Rattus norvegicus: one gene and its partners. The protein of the gene in region 2 interacts with the protein of the main gene of each other region in a biochemical or structural test. Links are inferred from orthologs where the notes say so. Each region holds a gene or a part of one and is shown on either strand. Other genes may lie near its edges.

Evidence for each region.
Region 1: the proteins of Apoe (region 2) and Ldlr interact in a biophysical measurement, tested with the Homo sapiens proteins (2 studies listed by IntAct). The link is inferred for Rattus norvegicus from reciprocal best matches to the Homo sapiens genes APOE and LDLR.
Region 3: the proteins of Apoe (region 2) and Snca form a complex in vitro, tested with the Homo sapiens proteins (2 studies listed by BioGRID and IntAct). The link is inferred for Rattus norvegicus from reciprocal best matches to the Homo sapiens genes APOE and SNCA.
Region 4: the proteins of Apoe (region 2) and Lrp8 form a complex in vitro, tested with the Homo sapiens proteins (2 studies listed by BioGRID). The link is inferred for Rattus norvegicus from reciprocal best matches to the Homo sapiens genes APOE and LRP8.

The regions. Positions count from the first base shown.
Region 1 is NC_086026.1:28,551,922-28,556,848, reverse strand, and holds part of Ldlr (low-density lipoprotein receptor precursor), read right to left. Parts: intron 3,086-4,927; coding exon 2,963-3,085; intron 2,447-2,962; coding exon 2,324-2,446; intron 1,501-2,323; coding exon 1,117-1,500; intron 1-1,116.
Region 2 is NC_086019.1:88,481,011-88,486,708, forward strand, and holds Apoe (apolipoprotein E precursor), read right to left. Parts: upstream 3,690-5,698; 5' UTR 3,617-3,689; exon of another isoform or gene 3,577-3,616; intron 3,511-3,576; exon of another isoform or gene 3,456-3,510; intron 2,861-3,455; exon of another isoform or gene 2,842-2,860; 5' UTR 2,819-2,841; coding exon 2,776-2,818; intron 2,283-2,775; coding exon 2,114-2,282; intron 1,716-2,113; coding exon 989-1,715; 3' UTR 879-988; downstream 1-878. UniProt on the Homo sapiens protein: APOE is an apolipoprotein, a protein associating with lipid particles, that mainly functions in lipoprotein-mediated lipid transport between organs via the plasma and interstitial fluids.
Region 3 is NC_086022.1:91,025,460-91,030,057, forward strand, and holds the end of Snca (alpha-synuclein), read right to left. Parts: intron 2,628-4,598; coding exon 2,544-2,627; intron 1,611-2,543; coding exon 1,578-1,610; 3' UTR 1,015-1,577; downstream 1-1,014. UniProt on the Homo sapiens protein: Neuronal protein that plays several roles in synaptic activity such as regulation of synaptic vesicle trafficking and subsequent neurotransmitter release.
Region 4 is NC_086023.1:127,847,179-127,852,105, reverse strand, and holds part of Lrp8 (low-density lipoprotein receptor-related protein 8 precursor), read right to left. Parts: intron 4,055-4,927; coding exon 3,902-4,054; intron 2,887-3,901; coding exon 2,662-2,886; intron 168-2,661; coding exon 99-167; intron 1-98. UniProt on the Homo sapiens protein: Cell surface receptor for Reelin (RELN) and apolipoprotein E (apoE)-containing ligands. LRP8 participates in transmitting the extracellular Reelin signal to intracellular signaling processes, by binding to DAB1 on its cytoplasmic tail.

The DNA of each region.
Region 1 (4,927 bases), on a different chromosome or scaffold from region 2:
TCTTCACAGTGGATGGTGAGGACTCACAGTTGCCCTATGACCTCTGTATGTGTTGCCACACACATGTATCATGTACACTAATAATTTTGTCTTTAAATAAATCATCCAGGGGATTGAAACCTGGGACTCATGAATGTGTGGCATGGTGGTTTGAAGGAGAACAGTCCTGATTGGGTCCTAAGTTTAAAAATCCTTGGCCCCCAGTTGGTAGAACTGTTTGGGAAGGATTAGCAGGTGTGGCCTCATTGGAGGAGGCGTGTCCCTGGGAACAGGCTGTGAGATTTCAAAGGATTCTCACCCTTCCCAGTTAGCACTGTCTCCGCCTCACGCTTGTGGATCAGATGTAAGCTCTCAACTACAGCTATGACACCATGCCCGCCTGCCTGCTGCCACGCTCCCACCATGGCGGTCATGAACTCACCCTTGAAACTGTAAACCTCACCAAATTCTCTCTCCTCTAAGTTGCCTTGGTCACTGCCCGTAGCCACAGAAAACTAAGACACTTACTAAGTGAGCCACAGATTTGGCCCTCTTAAAATTCATTGTTCCAAAGAAAGAAAAAAATATATTTTTTTTAAACTTATCTTTGGTTGGTTTTTTAAAACAAAATCATTTCCTTTGGTTTTTGGAGACAGGTTCTCTCTACAAGGCCCTGGCTTTCCTGGAATTCAGTATGTAGACTAGGCTGGCCTTCAACTCACAGAGATCAACCTGCTCCTAAAGGTGTGTGCCACCAGACCCAGCCTTTATCTTTGGTTAATTTTTAAAAATTTATTGCACAGTATGTGTGCACATGCGGGTATGTGCTCCTGTAATTCTGGCTCCTTCTCCTCCTCCTCCCCGAGTCTGGGTCTCTCAATGAACTGGGAGCCAGGCTGGTAGCCAGCTCCGGTCTCCACATCCCACAAGCACTGGAATCACAGGCTCGAGCATGGCTGTCTGCAGGAGATTTGAACTCAGGACTTCATGCTCTGGAGACAGGTGTTCTACCCACCCAAACAGCCCCTTACCCAAAACAAAACTTCCTCTCTGGGCAGTCTGGCTATTTCTAAGCCCCAAAGCCCCGCATACAGGGCCTGGAGAGCCATCATCCATCCCTCCTCCCCAGGGCCTTACCGCAGTTCTCCTCGTCCGACTTGTCCTTGCAGTCAGCCGCACCGTCACAGACCCAGCTGCGATGGATACACTCACTACTGCCACAGTGGAACTCGAGGGAGGAGCAGGGGCTGCTGACCACCTCAGCGGCCGTGTCTCGGCCCCCGCAGTTCTGCGGCCACTCATCGGAGCCATCGTCACAGTCCCGGTCCCCGTCGCAGGCCCACAGGCTGGGGATGCAGGAAGAGGAGTTGCAGCGGAAGTGAGCAGGGCCACAAGTGGTGGCCGCACAGTGGGCCTCGTCAGAGCCATCCAGGCAATCCCAGTCTTGGTCACACACAAACTGCCGGGAGATGCACTTGCCATCCTGGCAGCGGAACTCATCCAGGGAGCACGTCTTGGGGGCTGTGGGGGTGCACAGAGAGGAGAGCGCCCTGTCATGCTATGGCTCATACCACCACACACCAGCCTACTCACAGACAGGACCCTGTGCCTCAAAAAAACATGGTGGTAGTAGGCAAAGGCCCAGAAAGCTACAACACACCTGTCTCTGCCTCAGTTTCCCTCACACGGTAAAGTATCAAGCCACTCCTGTACCAACGAGCCCCTCTTTGGGGTGGAGATTCTAGGCAGGGGTTGATCCACATCTTAGCACTTTAGGTTGTGCTGTGAACTGCTTACCTTGCTAAATATATAAATTCCACTATTGAGGGTATGTAGGTATGGGGAAACCCACATTACATGGAGATAACATTCAGGGTTTGGCACTCTCACGTCCCAAGTCTGCCCTGTGGATCGGCACATAAGAGGTATGACATCATGACGCACAGCTGATAAACACATTGGCGGCTAGTACGTCAGCTCTGATTGGACTCCGAACACAGCTCAGCCTTCCCGCCAATGTGGGCACTTAAGGCAGGGAGGCAGCCTACAAGTGGGCTCCCTGGCGACAGTCATCAGAGCTTCCCCCTCCATAAATGCTTCTGATGTCCACGGAGGAGGCATCATCTCTCAAGGTGGGATTTAAGCCATAGGAGCAAGCACACACCAGAACTCAGGTGGAGTCCACTCGGGAACGACTGTTACATCCCAGGGCCCCTAGGGGACTCTTTAGTGCAAGATGGGCCAGCATGCATGCACACACACACACACACACACACACACATGCGCGCGCGCACGCGCGCGCGCACACACACGCCACATCCAGGGTGGTCTGAGCGTCACTTACAGCAGTCTAGTTCATCCGAGCCATTTTCACAGTCGGTCCGCCCATCACATCTCCAGGAGTCAGGAATGCATCGGCTGACGCGGCCTCCACAGCTGAACTCACCGGATCGACAGGTGACAGACACTAGGGATAAAGAGGAGCCATCACTCAAAAGGAACACAATTTAGTTAGGCCAGGTCCATCTCTTGCGTGTGTGTGTGTGTGTGCGTGTGTGTGTGTGTGTGTGTGGCGGTCACAGGACATACAGGACATTCTTTCCTTCTACCATATGAATTCCAGGGATCAAACTCATATCATGAAGGCTGACCCCAAGTGCCTGCTCTCATCTTAACAGCCCCTAAAAGCAATTCCACACAGCACTGTTAATGGACTGTTGTGCCTGCTGCAAGGCATAGCATGAGGCTAGGTGTGAAACTTTCCAAATCCATCATCACAGCATACAAAATGCTTTGGATTTTGAATATTTGGATTAGGGATGGTCACTCTGAGCCTTCTTCAAATTGAGGATTGAACTTAGGGTTGCTGGACTGCTCTGGCACGATATAAACTAGGAGAGCGCTGGGGGAAAAAGCCCCTGACTAGAACGGGAAGGGCCATGGGTTCTGTCTCTACAAACACCCACAATCAGAGGCGACTTACTGCATGTCTCAGGGGACTCATCGGAGCCATCCGGGCACTCGCGGCTGCCGTCACACACCCACTTGCTGACGATGCATTTTCCGTCTCTACACTGGAACTCGTTCTTGCCACATGAATCTTCTGCTGCAAGAGCGAAAGGGAAGGAAGGGTGTGGTCATCAGCACAGCAAAGATGGCCACATCAGCTAACCGGGGAAGGCAGCAGAGGTAGCCAATGTACCCGAGAGGGCAGCTGAGGATCAACAAATAAACACAAAGAGGAAATCCATCAGGTGTTAGGACCGACTTCTGGGCTGTTGAATAAAGTATGAAAACGTATCGGGCTTAATTGGTTATTTTTAAAACTTATTTTGAGACGGGTTTCCACCGTGTAGTTTTGGCTGGCCTTGAACTTTATATAGAACAGGATGGTTTTGGTCTCACAGGAATCTGCCTGCCGCTGCCTCCTGAGTGTTGAGATTAAAGTACGGGTCACCTGAGCCCCTGATATGCTGGTACAGTCGAGGCACAAAAGTTGTACCAAGTAAACAGCTATCAGATCCTCATGAGAGGGAACCTGTATCTGACACGCCACCATGGCCGAGAACCTGAGATTAGAAAGGGATGGACCTAGCGGGAGAAGCAAGTACATTCTGCTAAAGGAACCCAGCAGCGGAATGACCTCCGAGAGGATTTGTATATGCTCAGCCCAGGGAGAGGCACTATTAGGTGTGGCCTTGTTGGAGTGCATGTGTGGCTTTAATAACTTCCTCCCAGCTGCCTGAGAGTCAGACTTCTAGCAGCCTTCGGATGAAGATGTAGAACTCTCAGCTCCTCCTGCACCATGCCTGCCTGGATGCTGCCATGTTCCCACCTTGATGCTAATGGACTGAACCTCTGAACCTGTAAGCCAGCCCCAGTGAAATGTCCTTATGAGACTCGCCCTAGTCATGGTGTCTGTTCACAGCACCCCAATGACATTCCGCTACACTCAGAGATCAGTGCCTTGCTCAGCCATCAGCAGAGAAGCGCCCTCCTGCAGTGGATGGGAGCACACACAGAGACTCACAGCCGTGTTGGGATGACCCACAACCACTGCATTTATTGGCTATGAAAAAGTATGTCCCTGTGCTGTTAACTGTTAATTGCTGGGTAAGTGGAACACTTAGTACTAAATAGGACTAAATCTCTCGCCTCAGGGCTCCGGGAACCCTTCTGCCGAATGAGGAGGCGGAACAGTTGCGAGAGCCAGAGGGTTGGAGGAGACGGATAAAGCAAGGCCTTCCAGATACAGCTGGACTGACACACGTGAACTCACAGACACTGTGGCAGCATGCGCAGATCAACACATAGGTCCAAGCCTGACAGGGTTCCAGCCCTGTGAGGGTAGCTGGACGTGAGAGCCCGACCCTAACTCAGAAGCTATCTTTGGACCTTTCTCAGTTTTTTCCCCTTAACTTTACTGGTCTTTTGTTTGTATTTTATGGTTTCCGATTAATGGTGTGTTTTTATAGACTTCACATGTATGTGTCTTGAATGGGCGTGCTTCTTTTGCTTTCTTTTTCTTTCCTGCTCCTTTTGTTTTATTCTTATTTATTTATTTATAATATTTACTTTGCGTGTGTGTGTGTGTGTGTGTGTGTGTGTGTGTGTGTGTGTACACTGTAGCTGACTTCAGACACACCAGAAGAGGGCATCAGATCCCATTACAGATGGTTGTGAGCCACCATGTGGTTGCTGGGAATTGAACTCAGGACCTCTGGAAGAGCAGTCATCAGTGCTCTTAGCCACTGAGCCATCTCTCCAGCCCTCTTTTTAAGTTTTAATGTTATTTATTTATTTACATCCCAAACGGTATCCTTTCCCAGTCCCTCACCTCCCAGACTCCCTCCCCCAAACCCCTTCCCCTTCTCCTCTGAGAGGGCAGGGCCCCACCCTGGTGCTCTCCTGGTTTTGTTGTTTTCTGAAGCAGAGTTTCTCTGTGTAG
Region 2 (5,698 bases):
AAGCCCAAAAGGGAAGCCTAGAAGAGACAAAGCAAGGAGAGTGTACCAGATAAGACTATCGCGGAGTAGGAATAAGACAAAGAGAAAAGTAAACACCACCTGGCGACTCTGGTCTCTTACATGTTGATTCATGGCATAGCTGAGGAGCGGGTGTTTAAGTTGGGAAAGATAGCCCAACAGACAGACATAAAGTGGTACACACCTTTCTCAGTTCCTACGGAGATTGAAGACAAAGATTCAAAGATTCAACTAGGCTGGAGTGAATGCAACGAGGAATCAGTTAAGATGCTATTTCAGACTAAAAAGCGTGGATATACCTAAACGTAAGAGCCCCTGCCTAGAATCGCCCTCCCCCCACCCCGCCCCAAGGGTGTGGGCGTGGCTCAGTGGTAGGCGCTGGACTCGAATTCCCCCATCGAGGGGGCTGGGGGCGTGGCTCATGGTAGAATTCCCCATTGAGAGGTTGGAGGTGTGGCTCAGTGCTAGATACAATCCCCAAGTGATGGGTGCGGGCGTGGCTCGGTGATAGAACCCCTACTAGAATCCCCCCAGTGAGATCTAGAGGCGTGGTTCAGTGGTAGAGCCCCTCCCTAGAATCCCCCCAGTGAAGGACTGGGGGCGTGGCTCAGTGGAAGGTAGAATCGCCCGGTGAAGGGTTGCGGGCGGGGCTCAGAGGTAGAGCACTTGTCCTTTGGCGTTGCTAGCTCCTAGGTTTTATCTCTATTACTGCAAAACCAAAGCAGAGCAGACCAAACTAGACTTGAAATAAAGCACATGACCTCCTTCTACAGACATGGCCATGGAATGTGTGCTATGTCAGGCAGAAACGATAAACTGAGGCTGAAGCTGTGTGGAATCACTCACAGAGACTCAGAACGTGCTTGGAGAATCTTTATTAAGCAAGGGCCACCAGAGGGCCAGAGTGGTGCTTGGGACAGGGCCACCTGGCTGGTCATGGATGTTGCGGCAGGGCGTAGGTGAGGGATGATCATTGATTCTCCAGGGGCACTGTGGTGGAGGCAATGGAGTTGGTAGCCACAGAGGCCTGTATCTTCTCCATTAGGTTTGCCCACTGGCGCTGCATGTCTTCCACTAGCGGCTCGAACCAGCCCTTGATGCGGGCCTGGAAGATCTCGGCCTGCAGGCGTATCTGCTGGGTCTGCTCCTCCATCTTGGAGCGCACCTCCTCCATCTGCTCACGCACCTCCTCTAGGCGGTCTCGGGCCTGGTTGCCCACTTCCTCCAGCCGCCCTCGGATGCGGTCACTCAAAGCCTGGGCGCGATCGCGCAGGGGCTGGGCGGCGCCAGCGCCTAGGTTGGCTGTGCGCTGACGACCCTGCTCCACCAGTGGCCCCAGGCGCTCACGGATAGCACTCACACCGCGCTCGGCGCCCTCCTGTGCCCCGGCCTTGTACACCGCCAGGCGCTTCTGCAGATCATCCGCATCCCGCATCAGGCGCTTGCGCATCTTGCGCAGGTGTGTGGAGAGGCGCGACCGCAGCTCCTCTGTGCTCTGGCCCAGCATGGTGTTTACCTCGTTGCGGTACTGCCCGAGTCGGTTGCGTAGATCCTCCATGTCAGCTCCCAGACGGGCCTGTGCCGCCTGCACCTCTTTAGCCAGCCTGGCCCGTGTCTCCTCCGCCACTGGGCCCAGCTGTTCCTCCAGCTCCTTTTTGTATGCCTTTACTTCCGTCATAGTGTCCTCCATCAGTACCCTGCAGGCCCAGAGGAAACACAAGAGGGAGATGAATGCAGAGACAAAAAGGTCAGAATTAGGGTGGGAGGAAACCACAGAGCGAGGTGCGGTGGTACTCGCTTGTATTCCCAGAAGTTGAGAAGCTGAGGAAGGAGAATTGCAGAGCCTTCGAAGCCAGCTTAAGTTAGATTGGGATCCTGTCTCAAAAAGCCAAAAGCCATTCGACCAAGAACATAAATGAATGCCTGTTCATCCCAGTATCCAGAAGGCTAAAGAAAGCAGAAGTATTGAGAGTTCAAGGCCAACCTGGCCCACACACTCATGGAGAAAGGAAACAAGTAGGTAGGTGCCCAGATAGGAGGAACCCCTGGATCTGGATACTCAGCAGGTGCGGAGGGTGAAGCGCTGAGCACTCACGTCAGTTCCTGTGTGACTTGGGAGCTCTGCAGCTCTTCCTGGACCTGGTCAGAAAGCGTCTGCACCCAGCGCAGGTAATCCCAGAAGCGGTTCAGGGCCTGCTCCCAGGGTTGGTCGCTTTGCCCTGGGAGCTGATCTGTCACCTCCAGCTCTCCCTCGGCCAGGCATCCTGTGTAGAGTAGTAAGTTTAAGGCTGGGTCAGGACCTACAGTGCTCTTGGGTCTCTTTGAAGCAACAGTGCGTCTGGAAGTCAGTCGTGGAGTCTGTTTAGATACTACAAGCATACACTGTCTAGTATCCTATGTAGAACAGAGCTGAGACTAGGCTGGTATGGGGTTAGAAAATGTATACCTCCCCTTTAAAAGCGACTAAGAAATTACACACTTCAACTTTTTAATTGTGTGTCTGTGTGTGTACCCTTGGAGGTCAGAGGACAACTAGAGAGAATCCGCTCTCTCCTTCCACCATGTTGGGCTCCGAGATAAGTCTTCGAGCTTTATGACAAGCACCTTTACCCTCTGAGCATCAATCCTCTCATATTATGGATAGGGAAAGACAAGGCCTGCATGTAAAACAGCTGCTCAGGGCTATTGAATCTCAGAGGTCTCAGAACTGCCCCAACCCCAACCTGCCAGCAGGGAAAGCCACCCCTTGCCCCATACCTGTCAGCAATGGGACCAACAGCAGGGCCCACAGAGCCTTCATCTTCCCAGTTGTGATTGGCCAGTCTGCGGAAGGAAAAGCTGTCTTTGAACACCAGTGGGTAGGGGTGGAGAAACTCGGGCCACCCAAAGAGCCCCCACCTTAATTCCCTTCTCAGGTCTGTGAGTCATCACAAACATCTCCACAATAGAGCATCTGCCCAAAGGTCTATTTACCTCCCCCTCCTATCTCTATCTCAGCACCCCGGGGTGGACCCGCTGCCAAAAATTCCAGCTCCCAGTCCTAGGGTTCAAATTCCACAACGCAGAGGGACAGCCGGTGGTCCAATTTACATTCCTTTCTACCTTCCCTGCTAAGCCGGGCTCTCGGTTTAGTACTAATGTAAGTTTTTAATCGTCCTCCATCCCTGCGAAGTGGTACCCTCCCGCGACCCCAGAACTTCGGACGCTCAGGCATGAGGATCTTCGCTTTGAAACTGGCCCAGGGTAATTTTGGGGACTGTGATGGAAATCAGTAGGTATTTATATAAACGCAACCTAAGGCTCATCGCGGGTCCTTTCGCTAAAGATTGATACTACCTTCTAGTTGAGCCCGTATGCAGTGCACCGACAGTCCCATACTCCTGGAGATGACCCCTCCATCTCCTCCATCTGTTCTGACCCCGGCAAAGGCTAGTTACCTCACGATCTTAGTTTGTCTCCCCGCCACCCTAAGTCTTCTATCGGGCTTCCTGCTTTTCTAATAATTGTGCCTGTTTCCTGGACTCCAGCGGATTTCAAGGTCCCCTGCCCACGTCTTACCAAGCCCCCTGGGTGAATCGCCAGCCCAAGCTTGTCTTACCAGCTCCTTCCGAAACAACTCCTTAGCCTCCGGGGTCTGAGCAGGGGACCGGATCCCAGACCTGTCCAATTATAGGACTCCCCCTGCCCCGCCCCCTCCTCAGGGCTAGGGCGGGCTGGGCCAACCCCCTGTCACGAGGCGGGTTGCTCTCCCCCCCCCCCTTCACAGCAGGGCAGAGGAAAGAGGTGGAGTTTTGATGCCTTGTGACCCCCCCCCCCCCCCAAAAAGGAGCTGACTCCTCATTGAATAATCCAGGCCTTGGTGCTGGGGCACTGAGTACTGCTTCTCCCCTTTCCCGCGGGGTCTGGTGCATTCGTTGTACGGAAAAGGGCTGGAGGCTTAAATGGAAATAGGTGGGGGGCTCTATCTGTTAAGAGGCTCAGCTTCTGGGATGAAAACTGAGTTTTAGCCCTGGCCCCTCTTTGTTGATTCCTCTGCCACGGGTGAACTCTCCCCATCCCCGGGCTGGGGACATGCTCCTTTCCTTCAGGAGCTGTTCAGTGGTGGCTCCCAATGGATTTGAAGCCATACATTGTCAAGCCCTGGGAACCCAAGTGTTGATGCTACTGTCCTGTTTCTGGCGGTTGCCGGATGTATAATCTTGGGAGGGGGAGCTATCCCCACCCCTACTGAGCACAACTTTCAAGTTGTTTTGCGATCGGATCCTCGGGCTGCCCTTAAAGTCACAAAGGTCCTTTTGCCTCTGCTGTGGCATGCTGGGGTTGCAGGTGTGCCCCTCGGCACATGCATTTGCCTTTTCCAAGCACTTTTCCTTTTCTTCATGAAAGAAGTGTAGGGGCTGGAGAGATGGCTCAGAGGTTAAGAGCACTGACTGCATTTCCACAGGACCCAGATTTAAATCACAGCATTCGCAACTCAACACCCAGATTTGACAGCCCTACAGGGACATACATGCCGGCAAAACACCCAACACACTTAAGAGACAAGCCAGAAGAACAGCTATTTATGGGGACATGTGCCTCTAGTCCTAGTCACTTGCAGAGCTGAGGCAGGAGGATCCCCTGAGCTCAGGTAATAGAACAGAGCCCAGGCTAGCACATGGCAAGGCTGCTGTTACCGGGCTGTCAGGTAGGGCCAAGGGCTCACACACCACTCGGATGCTTGCTGAAGTGCCGCCTGCACAGGGGTTCCCATTCCCAGCTGTTGCTCAGAGGGTGGCAGTAGGAGAAGCCTCCTAACAAGGCTTGGCAGCAGATATGGCAACACATGACTCCGCAGGATGGGAAGAGGTGGAACACCTGGTTCCAAGGGTACAGGGTGCCGGGCCCAGGCCTGTTAGTTTTGGCTTAAAACACTGACAAGGAGTGGGTGTGGTGAGATGATTTTCATGGGTTACTAAGGGCCAGCTTCCATCTCCAGATGGCAGTAAAAAGGGTTTCAGTGTTGCGGTCTAGAGGGTCATTGACCAGTTCATCTTGAGTCTTCTCCTCCAGTGGGGTGCCAGGAGGAGCAGTGGTGGCATGCAGGCCCAATTTGAAGATGTGACCACACACACATCAGAGCTGGGGCTGGAATGCAGCTCCACGGAAAAGCACTTTAGTGACCCAGCACCTGCCTGATACGTGAGGGCTGGAGTTATATCTTCAACAAAATTAAAAGAACCAAAAAAAAAAAAAAAAAATCCCCAAAACCTTCACGTTTCCTGTTTTAGTCTGGGAAGGTCCTAGGGCCCCTTCCTCCCCCCTCAGTTACTTTCTTTATTGTGCTGAACTTCCAGGAACTTGGTTTCTTCCTGAAGTTTCTGAGACCTCTGACCTTCCCACTGGGAGAAAGTCAGCACATGCTACCACCTCAGCCCTTTTTGGGACAGGGAGGCTCCTGAGCCCCATCTCCCTGCCCCCACCCTGTTTGCAGAGACAAAGTCCTCCGCCAGCTCTCCGGGGCCAGGCTGCACAGGGGGAGTGACCTGGAGCCACCCTCCCGGTGAGGTCAGGCCTATGATGTTCCCGCCGCCAGCGTAAGTCCCCAAGAGCAGAGGGTGTGACTACGCCTGGCCAAGCTTTCTCTAAATTGCTTGCCGCTGCTGTGCTCTCCGACCCCTCGGCGCCGCCTGCTGGCAAC
Region 3 (4,598 bases), on a different chromosome or scaffold from region 2:
GACACGAGTTAAAAGTCCAACGTGTCCACTTGATTGTGTTGTGCGGCCAGCCGTGTGTCCAAGCCTGCTGTGGAAGGCTTTCTTTAAAGTCGTTGGTGGACTCATTACAGATCAAACAGCTCTGACTTGGGATTTCAAGCTGAAAAGCTAGAGCTTTAGTTAAGAGGCATCCTCAGACTGCACTAGTCAGGGGCAGGACCCTTATCAGGGCACGTGTGCACTGAGAAACCACTTTTAGGTGTTGAGTGAAAAATCAATGCTTAGGATAAAACAAAGCAAAGCAACAAAAACCAATTAACTGCTTCTATATCAACAGTCAGACACTGCTTAAGAGAAGAACTGGCTGGTTGATTACCTCCTCCCCAAAGCTCCCTGGGACTAAAGCACCAATGGGTACACATGGAGAGACCGTTGGCTCCAGTCGCATGTGTAGCAAAAGATGGCCTCCTCTGGCATTAACAGGAGGAGAAGCTTTTGGTATTGTGAAGGCTCTTTTTCCCAGTGTAGGAGAATGCCAGGGTGTTGAGGTGTGAGTGGGTGGGTGTGAATGGGAGCACATTCATAGAAACAGGTGGAGGAGGGATGGGGAATGGGAAAGGTACTTCCTGAGTTCTTCCTTACACACACACACACACACACACACACACACACACACACACACACACACACACATGTGTACATGCAATAAATTAAGCAGGTTCTTCCACAGCCTGCCTTGGATATGCTAATATGTCTTATGAATATGTAAAAGGGCTGTAGTCGCTATCCCTCACACCTTTCAGTTCCAATGAAGTGTTTCTCAGTGCTCCCACAGCTCTGAGCAGGACTGTATATCAAGCTGGCTGTGGGCAATGGCACTGGAGAATTCCTCCTGCAGGAGAGAGTTCCATCTCTAACACTTCCCAATTCTTCAAGATAGTGTTAAGACTTTACATTCTAGTTCATTTTGTCAGCTGTTATTTCATGTTCATGCTCCTGATACGCATGATTTTGTTACTAAAGTGAAACAGGAAAAAGGTTTTGCAATGAGATAATGTTTTATTTTATTTTAATTTCCACCATTTATATACAAACACAAGTTAATAAAACACGTCACAAAACTGTAAAATTCATAAATTAATATTTATAGGTGCATAGTCTCATGCTCACATATTTTAAAATATATATTAACAAATTTCACAGCACATCATTCTTCTTAGACAGAAAGAATCATTAAGGACATCTAAAAGTCTTATAGCAAATCACAACTTCTTGAGAACAGCAACAAAAAACGGTGAAGAGTTAGAAATAAGTGGTAGTCACTTAGGTGTTTTAAGTTTCTTCTAACATTTTAGGTTTGAAGCCACAACAATATCCACAGCACACAAGAGCCTGCTACCATGTATTCACTGTAGTGAGAGGGGAGCACCGGGATGCTGAGGGGCAGGTACAGGACTCCGATCACTGCTGATGGAAGACTTTGAAATACACTGTACAGCTTTGAGAAAAGGTCATGACTGGGCACGTTGGAACTGAGCACTTGTACGCCATGGAAGAACACCTGGGCAGATCTTAGGACAGTGGGTACAACGACATTCTTAGGCTTCAGGCTCATAGTCTTGGTAGCCTTCCTAATATCAGGAAAAAAATAAGAGCATGCCTTGTCAGTGAAGTGACAGTTATCAACTGTCTGCTTCACAGGAGGGAGGGCTCAGCCTTTCAATCAGATAAAATTGATCCTCAGCTCAGTGTTTGGGGCTTATCTGTCATGAACATGTATTGGTTTTTCCATACGTAGCATCTGTACGTTATAGGGGTCATCACAGATTATTAGGCCTAATTCTAGATATATCCTTTGATCTGTGATTTCGTGCTGCAGTATGAATTGGCTGGGGCTCTGATTTTCTCCTTTGCTCTGCGTTGTGAGCCGTGAACACCTAGGTGAGCTGCATAAAGCCTCCTCCAGAGCTCATCCTTCTCCTTTCTCCCCCATTAGGAAACCCCACCTTCATGAGAGGTTTCCACACAGGCTCATTTATTCTAAAGCCTGAGCCTCCTGGACAAAATCTAGGTAACATTCATAACAGGAATGGTACTTCCTCAATTAATTGATTATATCAGGATTCTACTGTTAAACTAAACCTATTATCAAACTCTTTTTCAAATGTCAATATAAACTTAAATGACAAAGTTAATTTGGGACTCTACAGTTTGTCTATAACCTTAATTATGTCTTCAGCCTTAATCTATCATATTTTATGTTTTCTAAACATGATTCATAACTGCCCATTGTTGCTCAGGCATTTTCATATGCCTTTGTTTCTGGTAACCTCTTGTGCTAGAATGTTCTAAAATGTTCTTCCTTTGACCTGCCATATCCCTTACTCTCTTCCACAAAGATTAAAATCATTTTCTCAAAACCCTTTTTATGATTGAACTACCCAAACCATAATATGAGGGAGATGTGATAGTGGCTGAGTGTTGCACATAGGCATTTACCTCTGAAGGTACCTAAGAAAATACCTAAGGGTATTTTTCTTGGTTTTCTGTTTGTAAGCATTTACCTCTGAAGGCATTTCATAAGCCTCACTGCTAGGGTCCACAGGCATGTCTTCCAGGATTCCCTCTTGTGGGTACCCTTCTTCACCCTACAGACAGGGAAGTGAAAGCACAGTAAGATAGTGTTTTCACTACTGAAGCATAACTTGAAAAAAAATTATGTCAGGTATACCTTCAAGGCGCTACAAGAAGTGTTCTCAGAAGTGCATTCTTCAGAATTACCGAGCCAAACTGTACCAAACCACCAGAGAAAAACATCATGCAAACATGGGTTACCAATCTGAAGCTTTCAAAGCTTTTGCCCAAGTAACTCATTACCCAGGAAGTTGCAAAGCAAAAGACCCTAAGTTCTCTCCATGAGCACAATGTTATAGTAGCAATGATTTGTAGTGAACTGGTAATGATGAATCAAATAATGGCAAAATATTCTATTTTTTTCTGAAATCATGATAATTCTCTAATAGGGACGACTTAATTTTGGTGTAATGTTTAACAGGACATTGTTTGTGGACAGAATCCACACAACACTTGAATCCGAAAGTAAAAATGTTCCAAGAAAGTGGAACTAATATACAGACACATCATTATGGTTTTCCCTAAATTTGTTAAGGCAAAGTCCATGTGTTTTGTAATTCATTGTTTTATTTTATTTTATGTGTAGGGATATTTGCCCTGTGTGTAGGTCTGTGCACTATGCATGTGTGGTGAAAACAGAGGGCAGAAGAAAGCATCACATTCCCAGAAGCTTGAGCTGTAGACAATTGTGATTCTCCATACAGATGCTAGAACATAAACTTGGGTCCCCTGGAAGAAAAACATATGCTCTTAATGACTAAGCTATATTTCTGGCTCCAATAAATTCATTTATAAATGCTCCCAAAGAAATAGTTCTCTTTGGAAATCTGGAAATTATACATACTTGAAGTTAAAAAAGAAGCCAAAGATTAGATTGGACAAAATTTCAGATTATCTCTCCACAGTGCTGACATCATAGCATTCAGTCTGACATGATGTGCCTTCTTTGTTTTCTCCATCAAAGGCCTTTTTGTTCTTTCCCGTTTGTTCCACCAAAGTAATTACTGAATGATAGAGTTCAGCAAATATTCAAAGAACAGAGATGTAACTGGAGCCTAAATGGGCTAATTTGAAGAGATCAAAGGATGCTTAGCTTCTGTGGACAATATGTTCTGTTTAAATGCTATCTCCTTCTGCTTTTATCATAGACATGAAGGACAGGTTGACAGAGGAAAGAAACAACAGTTGATACTAAGGCAAGATCAGACTCTAAAAATCATGTTTTGGCAGCTGGGCAGGGCAGCTTATAGACAATCTTATCCTGATGTACTGATATCACCAACATCTGTTTACAAACCCAGAGAATCCAATTTCCTCATACTTTCAACAAAATTCAAACTGTTCCTAATATATTACTCTAACAGTATTATACATGGAAGAAGTGTGTGTGTGTGTGTGTGTGTGTGTGTGTTGTGTGGTATTTCAACACCAGGACTTGATCACAAGATGCACATTACAAATGCAGCATGTAAGTTATCAAACTTTTGTGACTATGGGCATGTTATCCACACCACTTCTTAGCATCAACTAGCTTTAGTGAGAAAAGACAGCAGAGAGATCATTTTATTTGTATATAATTGTGAGAAGCAAGTGACACAATGAACCCCTCCCCCTGATGTTTAAATACTTTTTAGACAATTCATGTAAAGGAAATATAGTAAAGCGCATGTTCCGTGCATTTTTAAATGTAAACTGTGAGATTTATGTTATAAACTGAATGAGACAATACGGAAGGCTAATTCTAAGGGTTGCTAACTCTGATATTCCTGAATGAGTAGAAGAGAATCTCACAGACTGTGAGTGTCCATGCATACAAGGGGCTAACTGTGTTTGCCCTTCAAAGTTCAGCCAGATAACTCTGGATGTTGCATAGAAATTTCTTTCTGTGTTTACCATGTACTACAAACAATTAAAATCCATCTATGTCAACTTTAAGCATAATACCAACCAAGATGTAAATGATTAATGGTTGGTTACTTTTTAAA
Region 4 (4,927 bases), on a different chromosome or scaffold from region 2:
TGAAGAACAATGTGTGCCGGGCAAGAACCCACACTGAACCAGGTAGCATGTACAGTTCTTTGTCCCTCTAGTGCCTTTCCCAAACCTCGGGCACTCACCTATGGGCACGATGATCCCAATGACAGCAGCGGTGACTGTTGAACCCATCTGGCTGCCTTCATTCCCATCTGTAAAACACCATGTACAGAATGATGCCCCATCACTGCGAATCCAAGCGCGGCCTGCCCTTGAGCTGTAAGGACCACCCGCCCAACCTCTTCTTGTCCTTGCTCTAAGGTGATGCTCCCAGTTACTGTGTAATAATTCAGTCTCACTAAACATCCCCAAAACTCCAGGGGCAAATAGGACTGAGGTTATTTCACATCCGGGAAACTAAACTTTGATAAATGCAGACTTGGGATTTGAACACAGGACTCATGACCCAAGTCCAATAGGAAGCTGGGGGCTACGCGGCAGGTGAGAGCTTAGGTCTCCTTGCTGCCGATGGGGCTGGCTGTCTTTTTCCACTAAAATCCAATGCACTGTCTCCACTGTTTTGGTGGTCTGCCTGTTCTATGCACTACCAGCTTGTTTTCCTAAGAGATTAAAACCTGATATACTGGAATGTAGTAGAGTGTAATTGGGAGCATAGGCTTCTGGGTCAGGCTTCCTCGGTTCAAATTCTATCTCTATTACACATTACCCGTGTGACCCTGTGGAAGTTAATGTAATATTAAACGTATAATGTATATTATATGTATATTATATTTATCTTAAAATATTTTCTACCTCTTAGGGGTCCATTTAAGGATTAAATGGGATCATATCAGATACTTAGCACAATATCTGGCTGGCATTGCCTAATTCAAGATGGTAGTGAGGTGGTAGTAGTTATGATGAGGGTTAAATTTAAAAAGGTTTGTTAGCCAGGCATGATGGTGAATGCATATCACACCCCACTCGGGATGGTAAGGATAGAAGACCTCAAGTTTAGACTAGCCTGGGCTACATAGCGAGACCCCATCTCTAAAGGATCCTTGTTGCTGTTAAAGGCACATAAAAGCCCATTCTTAAATGAAGAGTAATTATAAATGTATTGTTTTAAATAAATATCCTTCCCTAGCTCTAAGACACCTGAGACACCTGTACAGCTCTATGCCCTGGGATCCCATGAGAGCCCTCTGAGGTGTGAGAGGAATGGCTAGCCACTGGCAATGCCCCCCAATCTATTTCTCCATGTTACTTCAAGAAACTCTGGCTAATCAGGGAGCTGCCCTGTTCACCAAGTTAGCTAATTGGAGGGCGCTGGAGAGATGGCTCACTTGTTAAGTGCTTGCCATTTAGGGATGGGGATCTGAGTTCTGCTCCCAATTCATGTAAAGCCAAGCATGGCAGCATGTGCCCATAGCCCTGGCTGAGGAAGGAGACAGGAGGAGACCTGAAGCTTGCTGGCCAGCCACTTTAGCTGAACCAGTGAGCTCCAGGTTCTGTGAGAGACTGTCTCAAGAATTATATTGCAGAACTATTGAGAACACTCCCAAGGTTGATCTCCAGCTTCAACAAGCACACATACATATTATACACCTTCAGTACACACACGTGCACAAAGATGAACATGTACACACACACACACAAACACACACACACACACATACACACACACACGCCCGCACGCACACACGCACAGGCATGCACGCATACAAAGAAGGAAGAAAACAAGCTAATTGGAAGCACTGCTGTCCCCTTGCTCTGATGTGCTAGGAAACGTCCCAAGACCTGAGAGAACACTCAGACCTCTGCCCCCATGAGAGGAAATGGAATTCCACCTCTGCAAACACCAGGCTGCCTCAAACGTCTATTCTTAGAACCTAGCCTCTGCTGGCTAAACAGCCCTGATCTGAACAATGTCACCAGGTTGCTTGGTTTCTGGGCCAGCCGTGTATGGGGAAAAAATGAGAGATGGTTTATCATTTAAAATGAAGCCCCCCGGCAATTATAAAGGTATTTTCTGGTTAATGAGATACAGCTGTTCCAACAGGACAATTACTGCTCCCAAGGATTAAAGAAGTACTAAGCTTAGTTATTCTATCCAAGATTTGGAAACAGGCACAAGCAGATCATACTTTACAGACATTACTGCCTGGGCAGCTTACCAAGGCTGCCGGGAGCTCGGATAGAGCTTTCCAAACTCGACGACACCCACCTCAGGAACACATGGAACACTGACACATACCCAGGCAGCTGGGCACTTCCATTCACAATGCCTCTTTTGCCTAGTTCCCTCTTTGAGGCAGGGTCTTACCATATTGCCTTGGCAGGCCTGGAACTCTCTATGTAGATCAGGCTGGCCTAAAACTTAGAGATCTGCCTGTCCTGTCTCCTGTTTGCTGACCACCACTGCCAGGAGCCTTTGCCTCTCCTGACCATCTTGAGAAGCAAGTCGAGTGTAGCTTATTATTGGTTCCTTTTAGGGGGAGACTGACGTTTAGAGATGAACGAATGGTTTGCCTCCAGGTCCTTTTAAACTTATGGACACCCAAGCTTCCTCAATCCCAGGACAGGACCTTCTCTCCCTTGCTTCCTCCTAAGAGGTGGACATTACAAGATCTTCCTTCCTAGCCACTCCCGACCCTCATCTTGGCTTCCCCCAAGTTATACGAAATGCAGAGCTGACTTCCTTACAGTGCTGGGAGTGGTTGCTGGTTGCAGGGCTCAGGGTGGACGGGCTGGTGCTGTGAGCCTTAGGGATGTTCACTGAGTGAGGGACGGCAGCTGTCTGGCTTGGCATCTCTGTGCTGTGGTTCTGGTAGGTAGAGTCGTGGATGGTTGTCCCAGGGGCTCCCGTAGTAGCAGGTACTGTCCTTGTCATAGCAGAGGCTAAGGTTGTAGTTGAGGTAGACGGAGGTGCTAGAGGGGAAAGACAGCAGTTTGTTGCTTTGGTGCCCAGTTATGGTTGCTGAGTTCCAGTAGGGGCTCAGCCTCTGGGCTTAGCTCAGATGCCACTATTGTGAAACTTTCCCCCATCCCCGAATGGGCCGTGATCTTCTCTGAAGCTGAGTCCTAGCACTTCACTTTGATCTGATAAAGACGGGTCCGTGGGACAGAGCTGTGGAGACAAGTGTGGAGGAGGCCTCTGTAAAAGACCAGAGGGAGCAGAAATACAAATTGAGAAGCATTTCATCCTCGTCTGTAGTTACATCGTCAGGTTTAAATTCTTCACGTTAAACAGTTGAATCTGGACATTGTAAATGATGTAACAGGCCTGATGCTCAAACCCAAGGTTTGGCTACACATGGGGACTGAGAAACAAAGCCCAGTTGTGAGGATGAAGTGCTAGTCCACCATTAGTCACAACTGCACTCAAGGGCATCTACGCAGTGTGCCAGGTCTAGCTAAGAACAGGCATCTGCTACAAATGGTCAGCAAGGACCAAGGGCTCTTTACTCGAAGTTTTCTTCATTTTAATTTTTACTTTTTGATCTGTTTTTATTTTGTATCTACGGGTGCTTTGCCTGGGCACCACGAGCTCGCCTGGTATCCTCAGAAGTCAGTAGAAGGAATCAGGGTTGGAACTTCTGGAGTTGGAGTTAGGAATGGTTGAAAGCCATCATATAGGTGCTAGGAACTGAGCCAGAGTCCTCTGCAAGAGCAGCAAGTGCTCTCAGCCACGGAGCCTACTCCAGGCCCCATTAACTTGGTTTTCAAGGGATTCTAGAAACTTCCTGAAAGTCGAATTTAAAGCATTTTATGCGCATTGCACTTTTCTTGGAGATGGGAAAGCCTTGGAGGGTGCCATGAACTCACTCTGTCAAGGACGTTTAGATAAGACGAAGGTGCAGATGTGAGAGGCAACCGGGGAAGTTGGAGGAAAAGCTGGAGCATACTGAGTCCCTACGAGTCCAGGGCAATGTTTGTCACTAACCTCGGTAGCATCTCTTCATGTCTGGGCCCAGCCACATTGTGTCAGGACAGGCACAGGTGTACTTGGGAGAGTGGCTGGAGATCTGAGGAGCAGGAAGGCACAGGTATTCACAGCCGCCATTGGGCTGGGCACTCAGCTCACAGGCATCTGCAGCTAATGGCAGGGGGAGGAGCAGACAGAGAGCATGTTGGGAGATTGACAGGCCATGCCAGGTCCTCTTGTCTACCAATAGTGAGTTCCCACCAACTGGACTTGCACAGAAATCTTTCCCCACCAGCATAGTAGCTGGGACTTTATCGTTACCCTCATTCATTCTTACAGTTCTGAGAGGTGGGTTACGGTTCCAGGTGACAGAGAAGCCTACCCTCAGAGAACACACGGACACGTTACAACTCTAGGAATTTTAAGTCTACCTCTCCCCGACTGTGTCTGTCTCGTTTGTTCCTCCTCTGGGCACCTGCCGTCTCTTTCTGCTTTAAGTCTCTAGAACTAGAATCAGGTGCAGACCTCATCGTCTTGCCCCTCTCTTTGCTGTCTCCCTTACCCTGGCAGCCATTACTGGTTACAGCTGGTCATGGCAGCGGATGACACAGCCCTGTGGTACGACTATTAGACCGTTCCCAGTAAGCCACCTGGCTAACTGTAAGGCCTGGAGACACAGGAGTTTGCAGTACTGCAAAATGGGTGCTAGAAGTAAGTGCACACTGATGTGTCGCGACAGAAGGAACTTGGCAATCAGGTGGCCTCCGGTTTAGATTTTTGTTCTACCTGCTAACATTGTTTTTTCTCTCCAACTTCAGTTTCCTCAATTGTTGAATGAGACATACAAAAAGCACCTGTTATCGGCAAAACTAGGACGCCTATGTGTTTGTTCCTAGCCTTGTGTCACACAGAGGCTGAAGCAGAGTGAAACCAGATATGACAACACACTCTACAACAAGAGGGATTATTGTATTCTTGGGGATGCTGGGTCAAGACACAAATGGGAAGACATAGCCTGTCAGGTGTCAGGAGAGGGCACAGGCA